Macaca fascicularis: one gene and its partners. The protein of the gene in region 2 interacts with the protein of the main gene of each other region in a pairwise test. Links are inferred from orthologs where the notes say so. Each region holds a gene or a part of one and is shown on either strand. Other genes may lie near its edges.

Evidence for each region.
Region 1: the proteins of RBM10 (region 2) and SF3B4 interact in binary tests that used the Homo sapiens proteins (3 or more experiments, as listed by UniProt). The link is inferred for Macaca fascicularis from reciprocal best matches to the Homo sapiens genes RBM10 and SF3B4.
Region 3: the proteins of RBM10 (region 2) and THAP1 interact in binary tests that used the Homo sapiens proteins (3 or more experiments, as listed by UniProt). The two-hybrid records come from large-scale screens. The link is inferred for Macaca fascicularis from reciprocal best matches to the Homo sapiens genes RBM10 and THAP1.
Region 4: the proteins of RBM10 (region 2) and CPSF7 interact in binary tests that used the Homo sapiens proteins (3 or more experiments, as listed by UniProt). The two-hybrid records come from large-scale screens. The link is inferred for Macaca fascicularis from reciprocal best matches to the Homo sapiens genes RBM10 and CPSF7.
Region 5: the proteins of RBM10 (region 2) and RBM12B interact in a two-hybrid assay, tested with the Homo sapiens proteins (3 studies listed by BioGRID). The link is inferred for Macaca fascicularis from reciprocal best matches to the Homo sapiens genes RBM10 and RBM12B.

Annotation. Positions count from the first base shown.
Region 1 is NC_088375.1:111,352,208-111,356,219, reverse strand, and holds the start of SF3B4 (splicing factor 3B subunit 4), read right to left. Parts: upstream 2,802-4,012; 5' UTR 2,758-2,801; coding exon 2,724-2,757; intron 2,292-2,723; coding exon 2,163-2,291; intron 1,925-2,162; coding exon 1,382-1,924; intron 1,053-1,381; coding exon 846-1,052; intron 1-845. UniProt on the Homo sapiens protein: Component of the 17S U2 SnRNP complex of the spliceosome, a large ribonucleoprotein complex that removes introns from transcribed pre-mRNAs.
Region 2 is NC_088395.1:47,252,731-47,256,867, reverse strand, and holds the start of RBM10 (RNA-binding protein 10), read right to left. Parts: upstream 2,801-4,137; 5' UTR 2,577-2,800; coding exon 2,507-2,576; intron 333-2,506; coding exon 191-332; intron 1-190. Other genes in the region: NDUFB11 (NADH dehydrogenase [ubiquinone] 1 beta subcomplex subunit 11, mitochondrial), read left to right, coding at 3,360-3,566. UniProt on the Homo sapiens protein: Binds to ssRNA containing the consensus sequence 5'-AGGUAA-3'. May be involved in post-transcriptional processing, most probably in mRNA splicing. Binds to RNA homopolymers, with a preference for poly(G) and poly(U) and little for poly(A).
Region 3 is NC_088382.1:46,376,714-46,378,891, forward strand, and holds part of THAP1 (THAP domain-containing protein 1), read right to left. Parts: intron 1,072-2,178; coding exon 876-1,071; intron 11-875; coding exon 1-10. UniProt on the Homo sapiens protein: DNA-binding transcription regulator that regulates endothelial cell proliferation and G1/S cell-cycle progression.
Region 4 is NC_088388.1:12,623,020-12,626,535, forward strand, and holds part of CPSF7 (cleavage and polyadenylation specificity factor subunit 7), read left to right. Parts: intron 1-316; coding exon 317-489; intron 490-3,516.
Region 5 is NC_088382.1:103,388,531-103,392,613, forward strand, and holds the start of RBM12B (RNA-binding protein 12B), read right to left. Parts: upstream 2,815-4,083; 5' UTR 2,702-2,814; intron 2,518-2,701; 5' UTR 2,450-2,517; intron 1,929-2,449; exon of another isoform or gene 678-1,928; intron 457-677; exon of another isoform or gene 316-456; intron 1-315.

The DNA of each region.
Region 1 (4,012 bases), on a different chromosome or scaffold from region 2:
GTTAGGGAAAACTGGAGTCCAAGTGGAAGGAGATTACTACAATAAATTAAGTGTTAAATAATGAGGGAATGAGAGACTGAACTAGGGCACTGGCCATGGGGAGAGATGCCACTGATATTAAATAAGACTTGGTATTAAGAGTGGGGTGATAGGGAGCAGTCAAACATCACTCTCAGATTCATGAATTAAGCACCTGAAAAAAAAGACTGCTAGAGAAAGAATGGGTTTGAAGGAGAGGGACAGAAAAATGACGCTATCTATTAAGCAGCAGCATTAAAGCATTAAGGATCCGGAATGTCAACAGCTATGGACTAGAGATACAGATCTAGGAGGCATCAGTATATGCCCAATTAAAACTATAGATATATGCAGAAAAGAGAAACAAGCACAAAAATCTAGGCACAAGTAGACAAGAGTCTATCATGGTAGCTGAGATTAAGGAGTCAGAGGGGTGGAGGATCTAGAAAAGCAAAAGCAAAAAGAGACGAGAATTTCAAACAGGAGGACACGACTAGTTTCAAGTACATCAGAGGTCAAACTAGATAAGGAGCAGACGTGTCCCTGAGATTTGGCAATTAGGTCACCACTTTGAGCTGGAGTCAGAGAAGAGAATGGAACTAAAGGTTAAAGAAATAAAAACCAGCAAGTATAGTCTTCTTGTCAGAAAAACTTAAGAAATGGATACAGGGAGGTGGATGTTAGAGAGTATTTTGTATGTTTTTATAATAGAATGTCTGAAGGAAAGGAAACTCTGAAACTGTTACTGTTGAGGAACAAAGGGCAGCAGGGTGAGAGGTAACAGAGATGCTCTACCAAGCTCTTCCCTCCCAACAAAGCACACCTACCTGGATGGGGCATCCCACCTGGTGGGAATGGGTGAGGATGTGAGTGTCCATGACCAGGATGTCCTGCCCCTGGGGTTCCTGCCGATGGGGGGCCATGTCCTGCAGCTCCAGGAGGCATAGGTGGTGGGGGCATGGCTGGGGGTATCCCAGGTGGGAGGGCTCCAGGAGGTGGCACTGGGGGTGGGAAGGAGCCAGGAGGAGGCATGCCTATAGAGGAAATGGAAAAAGGAAAAGTTAATGGTAGTGAGGAGAAAATGTCTTTAAAGAGCCTGTCCTGATCTGGCCTCTCTGGGCAGGGTGAGCTCTTTCCCCCTCCTCCCAGTGCTCTAAAATCAAAAGCAATGTTAGAAAAGTCAACCAACTTCACCCTCCTAAAGAAACCCAACAACTTTCTTCTCCACCACTACCATCACCCCTCAGTCCTCTTCCCATCACTCACTGACTCCATGTCCCATCCCCCTTTCAGGCTCTTTTTTTCTTCCTCCTGACTCTCTCCCCCAACCTTAAGACAAACAAATTTTAACCAAAAGCTTTACCTGGTGGAGGAAGCCCAGACCCCAATGATGATACCACAGGATTGGGGGCAGAGGGTGGAGGAGGTGCATCTGCAAACAGCTGATGAGGGCGGTCAGCCTGGGAGAGCGGGTTCTGAGCTGCCAGAAGTCGTTCGGCTGCTGAGCCATGGCGCTCACCCTTGGAGTCCTTCTTGAAGGCATAAGATACGGTGATAGGGCGGTTACAGAGGTACTGCCCATTCATGGCTTCAATTGCTGCATCCGAAGCATCAAATGAAGCAAAATTAATAAAGGCATAACCTTTGGAGTTGCCTGTGTCAGGGTCCCGCATAATCTTGGGGGTTTGTAAGATGACCCCAAAAGCGCTGAAAGTATCATAAAGCAACTTCTCATCAATCTCAGGGTCCAGGTTCCCAATGAAAATGTTGGCCCCTACATCCAGGTTTTTGTTGTGGGCTGATGCCTTGTTCACCCGTATTGGCTTCCCATAGAGTTTGATCATGTTCATGATCTTAATGGCATAGTCAGCATCTTCCTCACTCAAGAATTCCACAAAGCCATAGCCTGGAGAAGTGGAGAAGAGGAGGTTAACAACATAAGAGATTGAAAATGGGGTAAAACTCATCTACCCTCTAATCACAAAGAACAAGAAAGAAACAATCTCACTTAAGAATGGTTCCAGAAATAAACTGAACAGAGGCTTAAAAGAAAGAAATACTTTAGGTTGCTCATGTTATTCCAAAACAGTTGTGAATACTGCCGGGACCCTCCGGAAGCAAACTGCCCCTTGTCATGTACTCACCTTGGTGCTGGCCAGTGACTCTATCCTTTGGCATGTGGGTGTTGACTACTGGTCCAGCCTGGAGAAACAGTTCCCACAGCAGTGGTTCACTAACCTTCTCATCCAGGCCCCCCACGTACACAGTGGCATCTGAAGGGAGGGAGCAGAAAGTTAGAGCAAGGGTGAGAGTATAACATGAAAGAAGGAGGTGATGGAAACATGAAGATGGAACCCAACCGGGGGAACTGGGGACGCGGGTAGGGGACAGGAGCAAAAAAAAAAAGTTAAACCCTTAAACTTCTCTCTCCAGGACTTCAGGAATCCTCTGAAGTCTAATTTAGTATTCTGAGTGGATTTTTTTGTTTTTTTGAGTGAGAACTCAGCAGGGGATTGGACGTAAGTATCACACACACAGGCCTCAGCCAGCACCTGGCCACCCCGCCCCCAGGAGGCACGGGGCCGGTCTCGCGCCCTCTGGGGAATGGATGAGTCCAGTCTCCCACCCCTGCAGAGGCACTTCTGGCTGTAGTAGGGGCCTCCTAGCCACGCTGAGCCCATTCCAGACTTTCCCCCTCCAGTTACCCTGGTTCCGCTCGGAGATCGGCCCGGCAGCCATGGCGAAAGAGCTCCCGCCGTCTCCCAGCAGCGGTTCCGCCTTCTGACCTCAGCACGACTTCCACTTCCGGGGCGAAGGAGGACGTAGCGGTGGGCGGAGCCGCGGAAGAGGAGGGGCCTGGAAGCGGCTGCAGCCATTTTAGGATCCTCCAAGACTTAACTCGGGTTGAGCGGTGGAGTCCTCGGCACTCGCGCAGAGGTGCCGCTGCTAGTGGCTCAGACCGTCTTAATGCACTGCTAGACTTGAAAGAATCACACTGCTCCCAAAAATGTAAATTCGAAAGCTAAAAGAACAAAAACTTCAGTTTTCATGTATTTTGTAGCCAGTGATGATGTTTTGTTGTCCAGAGAAGGATGTGCTGAAGAGTCCCCCCAACCCGAGGACTTGGCTGCTTTCAGGCGCAGAGGGAACCCTCCATCTCGCCTGCAACCTTCTTGCAGATTTGGCCTCAACAGCCCTGATTTGGGCTGGAGGTATTTGGTTTTCCCTCAGGGGAGGAGACTGCGAAATGTCTGAGCTGGAGTGACGTCTGCGCTCATCTCGTCGTAATTGCATGGGGAGGGTGAGGGCAGCTCCAAGGTGGTGTGTGACCACAGGTGAGGGGTGGATAGGATCGGAGCTCAGAGACTTCAGTCTGGATCTCTAGAACAATCTGGCCCCATCTGCCTCTAAATGGGAGACACACACAGAATCCTTTCCCCAAACTGCACTTGAATTCTGCAGAGTCTCACCAAATCCAGTTCCCCTATTTCCTTAGCAATAATACAGTAGATGCTTTCCTCTCTTGGATCATACCCACCTTTTACCCACCACTTTCCTACCTAGGAGAATCCTTTATTCAAACACAAGAAACAATGCCAGTAATGTGTATAAATACTATGCTTTAATGAGCCCCTTAAATAGAAAATTCCGCTACAAAAATACACAGGAGACAGGGTGTTTCCTGTATCCGCCTCATTCCCATAGAAAACTATAAGGGAAGAAATAGAAGTTGGAATTAAAGCAGCAGCAAGGCGAGGTGAGAATGCGATCTCTAGGCCATCTTGTTGGGACTGATGAACAGCATCTCTGATCTCACGATTTAACATCTGGTTATCCAGAAGGGATGGAATTGGTCTAAAAAAACCGATCAATTTCTGGATTGTTTTTGTTTCTTAATCTTTCAAATGACAAGAAACAAAAATATCCGTAGGAACTAAGCAAGACAGGACAAGAGTTGCAGCAGTTAACACCACCATCTGCAGCAGAAACTCAG
Region 2 (4,137 bases):
ACTGCACTCTCAGAGCCCAGCACAAGTCCTGGCTCACAACAGGTGCCAAATACCTGTCTGCTGAAAAGAAACTCCTCATCTGCTATTGCTGTTTCCTCTACCCAGAAGCCCCAACCTAGCACCTTCTTGGATCAATTCTCACATAGAGGCAAGCCTAGGCTGTTTGGGAGGCTGGGAACGGGTAACTCACCGTCTTTCATACTCCATGTCCTGATAGGGCCTTCGGGGGCTGCTGGGGCCCCTCCTCAGCCGCTGGCTCCGTTTCACTTCCCAGCCACCCCCGCTGCTGCTACCATGATCTGCCAGCCTGGGTGATGCTTCCTGCAGGGACTCTGCGGAGAATAGAGGGAAAAAAGGGGTCAAAACAGTTGGGACAGAGAAGGCCTCCTTGAGAAACCCTCGTTGTCAAGGCTCTTTGCCGCCCCTTAGCCCAGGGACATTGTCTTCTAGCTCCCAGCACTCCTGTGCATCACAGTGTGAAGGTAGCCCCTACTTGGCCTGCTCCTCCCTTTCCCCGCAAACATGAGGCTAGAGCCCACTGCCTTAAAAAACAGCAAAGACGGCCGGGCGCGGTGGCTCAAGCCTGTAATCCCAGTACTTTGGGAGGCCGAGACGGGTGGATCACTAGGTCAGAAGATCGAGACCATCCTGGCTAACACGGTGAAACCCCGTCTCTACTAAAAAATACAAAAAACTAGCCGGGCGAGGTGGCGGGCGCCTGTAGTCCCAGCTACTCAGGAGGCTGAGGCAGGAGAATGGCCCGAACCCGGGAGGCGGAGCTTGCAGTGAGCTGAGATCCGGCCACTGCACTCCAGCCTGGGTGACAGAGCGAGACTCCGTCTCAAAAAAAAAAAATAAATAAAAAAATAAAGAAAACAGCAAAGACTTCAGCAGACAAGGGGCATCTTGCAGAGAGACCTGGCGGGGCCACCCACGGTGTGATCAGGGCTTTGCCACCTAAGACAGGTAGACAAATTCAAGCCTGGGGCTGCATCCCAGGGTGGCCGTAGGGATACTCTCAGGGCTGAAAGTCTTGCCTGAGATTCAGCACATCAGGCAAGACTTCACAACAATGGGAGCCCCAGGCACCCACCAGGCTCCTTCCATGGGCCCCAAGGGACCATCTCATCCTCCCAACAAGCTGCTGGCTGTCCCCTATAAGGCAGCAAAAGACCATGAAAGGTTCTTGGGGGTGTGTATGAAGGGGCTAACTTGGCAACGAGACAGCTGCTACCTCCCTGGGCTCCTGGCCAACACAGCCTTGGCCCTCACACAGCAACTGGCTCAGCCCTGAGCCCTGTCTCCTATGTGCAGCCAGGTCCCAAGGTGATTCCCTCCCCAGGGCTCAAGCCCGTTTTCCAGAGGCAAAAGGGGCCCTTTTGGAGGCTGTTCTGAACCACCGTGCTCTTCTACTGGGATGGAGCAGCAGCCACTTCATCCAACCCTCAGGGCTGTGGTGAGAACTCAAGGAGTCCTGAGAACCCTGTGACCCAGCCAGAGGTCAGGATGAATCCCAGATCTTCAGGCTCCACCCTCTGAACAGGAATCAGGTAAAGCCAGGCAAAAATAGCACCTGCCCAACACTAGGTTGCTGCCACGCCTTTGCTCTATGCGCGTGCACATACACACACACAGACACACGCACATTCCAACTTTCTCTTCCTCCTCAAGCCACAGGGAACCCGAATTACCTGCTCCCAGGTGGGCAAGAGTTAGAATCACACCAGAGGCACTGGCGGCTGAGAGCACAAAAACCCTCAAGAGACTCTGGCAAAGGGGCCAGAGTCACACAGTAACATCCACCACAGCCAAGGGCCAGTCACAGACACGAGCCCCAAATAACTACGGGCCCACATCACAGAAGGAATCCACAGTAAGGACCACAATTACACACTAGGTCCTCTTTCCATGGATGAGCGTCACTCTCACAAACTCCCCAAAAGAAGGGGCAATGAGTCACACACACATTCCCTGCATCCCCCTCCCCACCCAGTAAGTGGGTTAGGGTCAATCACAAGACAGTCGTCCCCCAAGCCCCGCCCCATGGATAAGGATCTGAGTCACAGACACTCTCCCTCAAAGGGTAAAGACCAGAGCCACATCCTCCCTCTGATCCCCCAGGAATAAAGACCAGAACCACAGAATATTTCCCAATGGATCGATAAACACCAGAGTAACACAGAGCAGCATCCCCTCTCCTATGCACAAGTCGCAGACAACCGCTTCCCCAATGATAAACTTCGGTGTAGCCGACACAGTGATCCACAGTAGCCCACTCCCATTCGTCCCTCCCTTCCCCCAACCCGCACGCACCCATCCCATGTCCCAGTCGCGCACGCGCCTTTGCTCACACCAAAAAAAAAAAAAAAAAAAACCACCAAAAAAAAAAAAACAAAAAAAACCCCTCCCGGGTACAGACATTGCACGAACCCCTCCGTTCCGCGCATCCCACCGACCCGAAGTCCGCCCTCGCGCCTCCTCTACGTCCCCGCCCCGGGCCCCTTACCTCCGCCCCCACGACCAGCGTCGACGCTCACCTTCTCGGCCCGGGCTGTCAAGGGAGGGCTCCCAGACATCACCTCGGCCCGCCGCCACCTCCTCCAACTCTCCCAGCTCAGCCGGAGCCGGAGCGCGCAACTACCAAGTCCGAGACTGCAGGCAGATCGGGGGGAGGGGAGAAGCGCCAAGCGCGCTGCCCTCCCAAGGAAACTCACTGCCGCCTACTCCCAGCCGGCCAGTCACCAGCTCAAAATGGCGACGACGAGAAGGGAGTCGGCGCTCCGACCACCATCCACCTACTAAGGAAGCGCGCTCTGGCCGGCCCCGGCGATTGGTCACCGCCCGCCAGGGGACAGCCCTGGCCTCCTCTGATTGGCAAGCGCTGGCCACCTCCCCACACCTCCCCACACCCGTGCGAACGCTCCCCTAGTGGAGAAAAGAAGTAGCTATTGGCCAATCCGGCAGGGCCCGCTTTTTAGAAGCTTGATTTCCTTTGAAGATGAAAGACTAGCGGAAGCTCCACCTCTTTCCCCAAAGGGCGAGGGAACTCTGGGCGATTGGCTGGGAACTATATCCACCCAATGTCACCGATTTCTTCCTATCCAGGAAATGAGCAGATCCATCAATAAGAAATTTCTCAGCCTGGCCGAAAGGGGGAGAGAATGGTTGGCCCCACGAAGCCACGACAACTGGAGGCAAAGAGGGTTGCTCAACGCCCCGCCTCACTGGAAAACAAAATCAGATCTGGGACCTATATAGCATGGCGGAGGCGGAGCGATAATTGTCGCGCTCTCACCCACTGCAGCTGCGCACAGTCGCATTTCCGTCCCCGCCCCTCAGACCCTGCAGCACCATCTGTCATGGCGGCTGGGCTGTTTGGTTTGAGCGCTCGCCGTCTTTTGGCGGCAGCGGCAACGCGAGGGCTCCCGGCCGCCCGCGTCCGCTGGGAATCTAGCTTCTCCAGGACTGTGGTCGCCCCGTCCGCTGTGGCGAGAAAGCGGGCCCTGGAACCGACCACACAGTGGCAAGAGGACCCAGAACCCGAAGACCAAAACTTGTATGAGAAGGTAAGAGGCGGGGGGGGTGGGGGGGGACGGAACCCTGAAGGGGTCAATCCGGGATCGGCAGGTGGGGCGCTGTAGAGGACGTTCTTAGGCAGTAGAGGCCTGCGCGGCCGGCGAAAGCCTAGAAGACTTGGGAATTTTGCCTATCTTGTGTTCCTCCTTTATCTGTGGATATCCGCGTTCCAGGGCCAGAGGCAGGACTGGTTTTATTTTGCAGACAGAAATCACGCCTCAAGTGGACAGCGCTCAAAACGCATTAGAAGCAATATAGTAGTACAACAACGATAATACTAAACACCGATATGGTACTTGCTCGTTGCTGTCTGTGTTCTTTTTTTTTTAGAGACGAGATCTCGCTCTGTTGCCCAGGCTGGTCTCGAACTCCTGGCTCAAGCGATCCTCCCGCCTCGGCCTCCCAAGGTGCTGGGATTACAGGCAGGAGCCACCGCTCTGGGCCCCATCTGTGTTCTAAACACTTGATGTGCATTAGCTCATCTTATCCTAAAAACAAACCCCATTTCGAGGTAGGCACTATTATTATACTCATCCTACAGATAAGGAAACTGAAGCACAG
Region 3 (2,178 bases), on a different chromosome or scaffold from region 2:
GATCTTCTTTCTAAAACAAAAGTACAAAGTATGTTTGAATTTAGTAACTAAAAATAACAGTTTAAAACAATTTGTGGACTGACCAGGGGTAGTGGCTCACGCCTGTAATCCTAGCACTTTGGGAGGAAGAGGTGGGCGGATCACCTGAGGTCAGGAGTTTGAAACCAGCCTGGCCAAACATGGCGAAACCCCGTCTCTACTAAAAATACAAAAATTAGCCGGGTGTGGTGGTGTATGCCTATAATCCCAGCTACTCGGGAGGCTGAGGCAAGAGAATTGTTTGAAACCAGGAGGCGGAGGTTGCAGTGAGCCAAGATCATGTCACTGCACTCCAGCCTGGGTGACAGAGAGACTCTGTCTCCCAAAAATAAATAAATAAATAAATAAATAAATAAATAAATAAATATTCTGTGGAATTTAAGAAATATTAGACTTTTGTGGTGAATCAGTGGTACAGAAACATTCCAAAATGAGAAAACAGTTTCAGTTTGAATAAACTTTTCTACCTGCAATAAAGGGACGGTGCAAGAAAGAGACAAAATGAATAATCAGATCCAATTAAATACTAAGCACTGAGGAGAAAAAAATGCTTTGAAACTAAACTGTCACTGATAAAGAAAACCCAAAACTTATCAATATATAACTGGCAGTACAGAGTGATTTTTAAGTAAGTTACAAGGGCTGGACTAAGTTTCTTAGTGTGAGGATATTTATCTTAAATAAACCGCATTTTGTGTTTTCAGAAGTGTATCACTGTTAACTACACAAAGTTCCAGGCACATTTATTCTCTTTAACTGAGTTTTCCACATTTTAATCAATGAACATATCAGTTTGATAAACAGAAAGCAACCCAATATTTTAAAACGCATATTACCTTGTCATGTGGCTCAGTACAAAGAAATATTGTGGGCACAGCATTCTCTTTCAGTAACTTGTTGTTGCACTCTCTCTTAAAGCAGTCTGGAGTAAAGTGCTCTGAACAAATACTGCTATACTTGGTGGGTTTAAAGTTTTTTCTTCTGACAGCTGCCTCCCATTCTTTACAAAGACTGGGTCGAGTAAGAGGAAACCTAAGAAGAAGGCATAATTCAATTATCTGTGCTGATTTTTTTAAAATAAAGGCACCCAAACTTTCCAACGTAGGAAAGATCTTACATTGGTATTAAAGATGTTACAATGGTATTATCATACTGGATTAAAGATTAGCTCTAGTTATCTATCTCATTTATTAATTAAAAAAAATTTTTTTTGAGACACAGTCTTGCTCTGTTGTTAGGCTGGAGTGCAGTGGCGCAATCTTGGCTCACTGCACCTCCACCTCCTGGGTTCAAGTGATTCTCCTGCCTCAGCCTCCCAAGTAGCTGGGACTACAGGCGCCTGCCACCACATATGCTACCATGCCCAGCTAAGTTTTGTACTTTTAGTAGAGACGGGCTTTCACCATGTTGGCCAGGATGGATTCGATCTCTTGACCTCGTGATCCGCCCACCTTGGCCTCCCACAGTGCTGGAATTACAGGCGTGAGCCACTGCGCTGGGCCCTCATTTATTAATGTTTAACTTTTTATAGTGAGTTCACCAAAAGATTCAAGTAAAATACATACTATAGAATAAATGTGCCCGTGGCTCATGTCTGTAATCCCAGCACTTGGGAGGCCAAGGTCCAAGAGACTGCTTAAGTCCAGGAGGTTGAAGACTAGCTTGGGCAACACGGCAAAACCCTGTCTCTACAAAAAATACAAAAATTAGCTGGGTATAGTGGTATGTGCCCAGGTACTTGGGAGGCTGAGGCTGAGGTGGGAGGATTCCTCGAGCCTGGGAGGTCACGGCTGCAGTGAGCTGAGATGGTTCCACTGCACTCCAGTCTGAGTGACAGAGCCATACCCTGTCTCAAAAAGAAAAAAACTGTATTCTATTTTTACCAGTAATTTTCTGTGTGCTGCACAGGAAGACAAACATTGCACATTTGTATCTATGTACTGGGAAAGAGGGGCTTCTAGTTCTCTTAGCATCAGTCTGGACAAATACGAACAGGGTAAATTTGAATTAAAGGCAGATAATAATGAAAGAAAAGTATTTATTTTCTAATCAACTGGGATGTCCATTAGGCCCAGGTAAACGGGGATAGTGAGAGTTTAAATTTATTGTGGTTTTACTCTTCCAAATTAAGGATTTGGT
Region 4 (3,516 bases), on a different chromosome or scaffold from region 2:
CACTATATTTTGGCCCTGAATTTTAATCCCTCCCACCCCTGGCCCAGCTTAATGCCTTGGTTTTGGCAAACTGCCTTAGAAAGGGACCTAGCTGCAGTGTGGTAGAACATTTATCTCTTAAGGGGCGAAGAATACTGATTTTTAATTCCAAAAAAACAAAGATTTAGGCTCTTTGTTGTTAGTAGTGCTGTGTGTGTGTTTAGTTTAGCAAGATGTCCTCTGCTTTATCAGTTTTTACTAAAAATAGAAGAGAATTTCTTTTTTCTTCTCTTGGTTGTCTACAGATTTCATTCATTTTTAATTTTTCCTTCCTAAGGTATGCTGAGGTGGTGGTAGCCTCTGAAAACTCTGTCCACAAATTGTTGGAACTCCTACCAGGAAAAGTTCTTAATGGAGAAAAAGTGGACGTGAGGCCGGCCACCCGGCAGAACCTGTCACAGTTTGAGGCACAGGCTCGGAAACGTGAGTGTGTCCGAGTCCCAAGAGGGGGTACGTGGAGACCATCTGTATGAAGGGGGGGATGTTTGTGGGTTTGTTTTCTGTGGTGTAGGCTCAGCCTACAGTGTGGATGAGTTTGGGGGAGGGTGATGGTGGTTGTAAGTGGTGTCATGGTCAACAAGTAGTCCCCAAAATAGGTCTGTATAGAAGAAAGAGCATTGTGCTGGGAGTCAAGCAGGTTCAGGTTGTAGTTTGGTTCTGCCAATAATTCATTGTGTGACCTTGGCCAAGTCACTTTACTGCTTAGGGCCTGTTTCCTCATCTGGACTAGTGACATGATATTTAAAGTTCCATCAGCTCTAAATTCTGTGTTTCTGTCTAAAAATTGGCATATGGTGAATGGGCTTAATTTTTAAGACATGCCTCTCTATAAATTATCAAGAAACAGCCACCCTAAAATGTAACTAAAAGGTGCCTATAATCTTTTCATAAACGTTAATTGGAAAGATATTGAAAGGAATCAACCAAGAGGAGTGGTGGAGAATAAGAATTGAACAATATTTCTCCAGCATTGTCCAGGGGAGAGGGTGCTCTTTTGATTACCAAATGTTTTAGTCTGTTTGGCAGGTATATCCCATTAGTAAAGTTAGAGGCCGGGCGCAGTGGCTCATGCCTATAATCCCAGCACTTTGAGAGGCCAAGGTGGGTGGATCATGAGGTCAAGAATTTGAGACCAGCCTCACCAACATGGTGAAACCCCCATCTCTACTAGGAATACAAAAATTAGCTGGGTGTGGTGACACATGCCTGTAATCCCAGCTACACGGGAGACTGAGGCAAGAGAATTGCTTAAACACGGGAGACGGAGGTTGCAGTGAGCTGAAATCAGGCCACTGCACTCCAGCCTGGGCGACAGAGCAAGACTCCGTCTCGGGGGTGGGTGGGAGAGTTAGGGGCTGGGCGTGGTGGCTCACACCGTAATCCCAGCACTTCAGAAGGCCAAGGCGGGCAGATCACCTGAGGTCAGGAGTTGGAGACCAGCCTTGGCAACATGGCAAAACCCTGTCTCTACTAAAAATACAAAACTTAGCCGGTTATGGTGGCACATGCCTGTAATCTCAGCTACTTGAGAGGCTGAGGCAGGTGAATCTCTTGAACCCCAGAGGTGGAGGTTGCAATGACCTGAAATTGCACCATCACCCTCCAGCCTGGGTGACAGAGTGAGTCTCAAAAAAAAAAAAAAGCAAGCTACACCAGACTACCCTAGTTTGAGGACAGTTTCCCTTACATTCATCTTACTCTCTTTATTCTGACTGTACTCACTAAGCCACTTTCTTATGCTAATTTGGTTTCCCAATTAGGGTCTCCTACTGGGAAGAGTACTAAGTACTCCGGTTTGCTTGGCAGTTACATTTTTCATTGTAAATTAATAAATTGGTGTTCTGGTTTATGAGTCAGTCTCTTGTGAGTTTGGTTAGCATGAATCAGTCTCCTACGGCCTAGTCACCCCGGTTGAAGCAAGTTTCTGAATCTGAGAAACCTGAGGACTAGACCTTGGATTTTCCTGACCTGATAAAGTGCAGCCACCCTGCAAGGCCCTCCCTGAGACAGTCAGCCACCCTTACTTTCTTTTGCTACAGTGGGAGGAACAGCAGAGTTTCATCACCAATGTTCTGTCACTGCTTAGGTCCAGCTCTCAAAATAGTGCCTTGTATTGATTGGGTTTATCCTCCAAGTAGAAATAGGACCACTTTGTTCTTGCATAGGAACAGCTGTTCTTTTAACTAGATTGACAGCCTAGATAGATTTGGGGTGAACTCTTACTGCTCCATGTTAGAAAGGACACACTTTTCTTCCTTGACAAGTATTTTCAAGTTCCCTCTGTTTTGGAGTCTTTCTGTAATTCGCCGCTGACCTTCCTTAGGTATGTAATTTTACAGTTGTATTGGGAATAGCATTCCTACTTCTACTCAGCTGCTTTTCATGTTACCTTTCTTTGCTGAAAAGATTGTAGTAACTGAGTGCAGTTTTTCTCTGTCGTGCTGATAAACCTGGGCTCTGTTAATCACTAAGTAAAGCTGGTGGACTTCCTCTGCATAAAAATGGTTGCCTCTTTTGGGACTTGTAGCCATAGGTAAAAAACAGAATCCTTGCAGATGTGACAACAGTAGTAGCTGGGGAAGTGGTTAGCTGTCAGATGACACTTGCCTAATACCTTTTTGTTCTTCAGTTTGAGAGAACTCTAGGAAAGAGCCAGTTGCCATGTGTTTGGGACATGAAGAACAAGACAGCACTGACACTGTTTCTGTAGTAGAGAAGTCTAGGTGGTTGTCAGCATAATTGATTCCACCTTAGGCTTTACTCAGGAGCTGGGATTAACTATCGTGTTCTAGTTTAAGGAGCACTCTTTCCCTCCACACTTGCTGCCAATGGCATCTTTCTATTTCTAAGACTTCCCTGGTGTAATGTGATCTTGTTCTATTGGATTCCACATTAAACAGGCTTAAACTGTTAAACTGGAGAGAAGGAACAAGTTTAATCAAGTGACTTGACAGTGTCAGAATCCATGCTTCCAGCTGTTTAAAACATGTTCTGAGCTCCTGTTGTGCACAGCACCATACTGGCATGTGGTGATGGTGTTCGTGTTAGGCTGCCCTGAGGAGTAGAGGATTTTGGCCATTGAAATGTAGCAGGAGTTCCCCAGATTTAAGACATGGTTTGTAGCAAGCTTTTGCTAAGCATCCTTACTGTCAGCTGTGTGTCATGTGCTCGTGCTGTGGGCAGATCTTTTATTGGCCTATCTCCCAATTTTTCTTTCACTTAACCTCTAATTGTCTAGTCTTTATGCGTGTCTCTTTCTTACCCTGATTACTGGTTTTAGTATGTAAATAGAAGTGTCATCCAGTTCCTGCCACTCCCTCTCTTCCCATAAATTCCCTAGCCAACACCCTGTGGCAAAGAGAACATTTTAAATGTGCAACAGGAAGAGGTTAACTAGTATTAGTTTAAGGAGAGAGATCCTGAACTCTTCAGGAGATGTGGGGTTTCAAGTCAACTGCAATTCACCTGAACATCAGT
Region 5 (4,083 bases), on a different chromosome or scaffold from region 2:
ATCTCAATAGCACTCCTTATACTGCAAAAATAGTTAACTGGTAAAATTCTTCTCAGCCAAACAGAAAATGCTATTTATCTTATTAGTAATGCCAATAGCAGATTTCCATTTCAAACAACTATTCTTCACTCTACTAAGGAAACCCAAATGATGATGTAGAAAGTAAAAGTAAAAATTACCTGGAATACTGGGATTACCAGTTTACTGAAAATCTCAATGTATTTTTTTTTAAAGAAGTCTGTGTTTAATACTTTCAGGGATACCCAAACTATTTCACGAAGACTTGCCAAAATAATAATTATAATTTACACTCACTTTTTTTGGTGGAGGAGACAGGGTCTCTCTCGCTCTGCTACCCAGGCTGGAGTGCAGTGGTGCGATCTTGGCTCACTACAGCCTAGACTTACCCAGGCTCAGGCAATCCTCCCACCTCAGCCTCCCAAGTAGCTGGGACTACAGGTGTGCACCACCACACCCGGCTAATTTTTGTATTTTTTGTAGAGCCAGGGTTTCACCATGTTGCCCAGGCTGGTAGGGAACTCATGGGCTCAAGCAACTAGCTTGCCTCAGCCTCCCACAGTGCTAGGATTTACAGGTATGATCCACTGCGCCTGGCGTAATTTACATGTTTTTAATGTACAAATAAATGTTGCATTAATCAAGAATCCAGTACTTACACTTAAGTACCACTGTTCCCCAAAGTGGGGGTCTGAAGATACATTCACTGAGGTCTGTTTGTTTTCCTTTAAAAAGGGTCCATAGATTAACTAGAAGCTAAACTAGCAAAGACATCAAATTACTTCACACATTCTACATCTGAAAAATATTAATGAGGTTTGCTATTCAAGTATTTGCACAGTAACAACCCAAAAAAAGCCTATTTTCTTCAACAAACCAATATCCATACAAACACTTCAACAAAAACTATAAATGGCTTCTGGAATGCTTATCCATATTAAAGTCCCAAGACTCCCTCCTATGCAAATTGGCTTAGCTACTCTTTTACTGTTAAGATATTTTAGAAAGCACCGTAAGATATACATATTCTTGTCTCTCCTAAGCTTTTTAAAAAAATTTAAAGGGATTTACCCTGGGAACATAAATTCATCTACAAGAGAAATTAGAGACATTTCAAGGAATAATTATATCTCAAATTCAAAAAAATCTCTAGTAAGATCTTTTAACTAAGTAGTTTCATGAGCACAAATCTCATGAATTCCAATTCAAGCAGACTATTTAAAAAGCTTACTCTCATTTGCCACAGTTAAACACAACTAATGCTTAAACTTCTCTGCCCCTGAGACAGTAGGGTAATGTACCATTTATGCCTCCACAGTATCACACCTTGGAGACCAACTATAAAAGACCAGCTCTCAAAATGGGCACTTCTGTGGTTCCAACATGCTATTTCCTTAAGCAAATTCTCCAGAAATTCAGCTCTTAACACACTAAATTACAGAAAGCAAAACACGAAAATTACCCTAGTCTGCAATTAAAATTTTGCATTTTTCTAGTTATGAATGCAAAAAGTATTTTCGTGCCTTTGTGTTCATTTGAAGACAATAATCTGTTAAAATTTCTATGAAAAGAAAGTGGGTCCCTAAAAGGTCACTTAAGTCAGTGAAATTAAAAGCGCATTTTAAATAACTTCTATTTTTATACGATTCATCCCACTTAATCATCATTATAGCTAAACAATATGTAATGTGTATCTTCTAATCAAGATTTAACGGGATACAGAGAGGGAAAGGGGAGGGAGGCAGAATTTGAATAAGTAATATCTCATTAGATCCATTTGATTTTTAACTAGCGAAGAAAAAGTCATTTTCCAGATATGGTGAGAGAGAGAATTTTTTTAACTCTTTGCGACTAATTCGTAAAGCCCAAAGTCATGATGTAGCATATTCGCACTCTAAACGTGAGTTTCCCCTGGAGAAAATAATCTACACCAACCCACAATTATTCTTTATGATGATCCACCTTTTATAATGTAGATGTTTAAAATAAAAACCAAAGGAATGACCAATGAGAGCCATAGTCCCTAAGAAGAACTGTAAATGAAGACGAATCCACACGGCACAGGATTTCTCCCAACATCCTCAAACGGGAATCATCCGAAGGCATCGATTCTACAGCCCAAAGCCTTTGTCCATAACTCCCAGGGGTCAGAGCTTCCTTCTTTCGCGCCAGGCCAAAGTTGCTACGTGGGATCCGATGTTGTTGCCAGACTTTCAGCCAAAATCAGCCTTCAAATTAACCTGGACCGCCCAACCTCTGTGCCTTTCCGTTACGCCGTCTCAAGGGCAAACATTCCACCCTACCTCGCCAGAGGGTGAACTGCCCCCAAATCTAACTGAAAACACTTGCCCTTCTCAAGCCTAACGAGCCGGGCCTGCAGCGCTTTTCTGCCACTACTAACTACGATGACATAGCAAAGAAAAAGAAATACCTATGAAATCCTTCGAGATCTTCACTCTCAAGATCCCTGGGAAGCGCACATACACCACCACATGGAAGCTGACGGGAAAGGGAGAGTCGGTGTTTTAGCAAGAAAAGAGGGTGCCCTAACGGCAGGAGCTACGCTAGATACTGGCGCGGCCGCCGGTCCCGCCTTTCCCGGTTCTTCCGGCTTGGTCGCCCAGCCCTCCCCACCCCCGGCGCCCCGAGGGGAACTGCTTCGCACTTGGCAATAAACACACACCACTGCTGCCGAGTCGGACACACAAGGCCGGAGGCTGAGGGCACTCCTCGTCGCAGCAGCCTCCCCAGAACACGTAGAGCCCTCAGTGAGCCTAGAAGAAGATGGCGCCCACTGCCCCTCCGGTCCGGACAAACGGACGTAATGTTTCTCTGCCCATGCGCTCTCCAGGCGTATCCCACCACCACGCTTGCGCACGCGCGCTGCCGCTCACCCGCTTCCCCTTGCTAGAGGAGGGGAGGCGGAGCCCCGAGTTGGCTGAGCTTCTGCGCATGCCCAGATTGTGCCCAGTCCAGGGACCTCGATTTGCAACAGGAGAAATTCGGAGACACAGTCAAGGCTCAGATGGTAGATGTACTGAGAATCTTCGGTAGACAACTGTGGAAATTCAAGATTTCCAGAAGTTAAGGAAAGAGATGCAAAAGCAGAGAAAAGGCGACTTGTCTTTTCAGTGTTGCATTACTGTGTGGCGTAAAGCATCTTCTAAAAAGCTCCTGTGGCCGGGCGCGGTGGCTCACGTCCGTAATCCCAGCACTTTGGGAGGCCGAAGCCAGCACTTTGGGAGGCCGAAGCGGGCGGATCACTTGCGGTCGGTAGTTCGAGACCAGCCTGGCCAACAGGGCGAAACCCCCGTCTCTACTAAAAATTAAAAAAAAAAAAAAAAAAAAAATTAGCCTGGCATGGTGGCGGGCGCCTGTAATCCCAGCTGCCCGGGAGGCTGAGGCAGGAGAATCCCTTGAACCCGAGAGATGGAGGCTGCAGTGAGCCGAGATCGCACCGCTGCACTCCAGCCTGGTCAAAAGAGTGAGACTCCATCTCAAAACATAAAAATAAAAAAGCTCCTGTAGACCGTAGAATACCACAGAAAAGGTAATTTTACTGCCTTAGATGTTCGCCAAGTACAATCCCAACACCTGGGGGCTTAATAAATGCATACTTAGTCGGTTTTATAGATATTAATAACCTTGTAAAGTGTCTTTATAAATGTGTTCCCATCTTCTGGATTTTTGAAACAAGAGAACAGATGAGCCAGTACTGAAATTTCAGTAATGAAAAATCACTATTACAGGTATACTCTGTGATGCCTGCTACATAATAGCTGGTGAACAACCTTGTGTTTGGTTTTATCAATTGCAAATAACAAAGTTGTCCACCACGTTATATAGCTACTTGGTGCGTTTGTGGATGGATTCAAAACTCGTTAAGCAGAAAGTACATTTTAAAAACATTGTTACAGATGACAGAAAAAGTGAGTTGTGGATCCCTTTCTCACTGCAAAATACCCATTCTTGAATGATAAGATTATAAGAAAGAAGAGGTAGTTTAATAAGAAAATAAAAAGATGGTTAACACAAATGAGAGCCATCTTTTACTCACTGGACAAA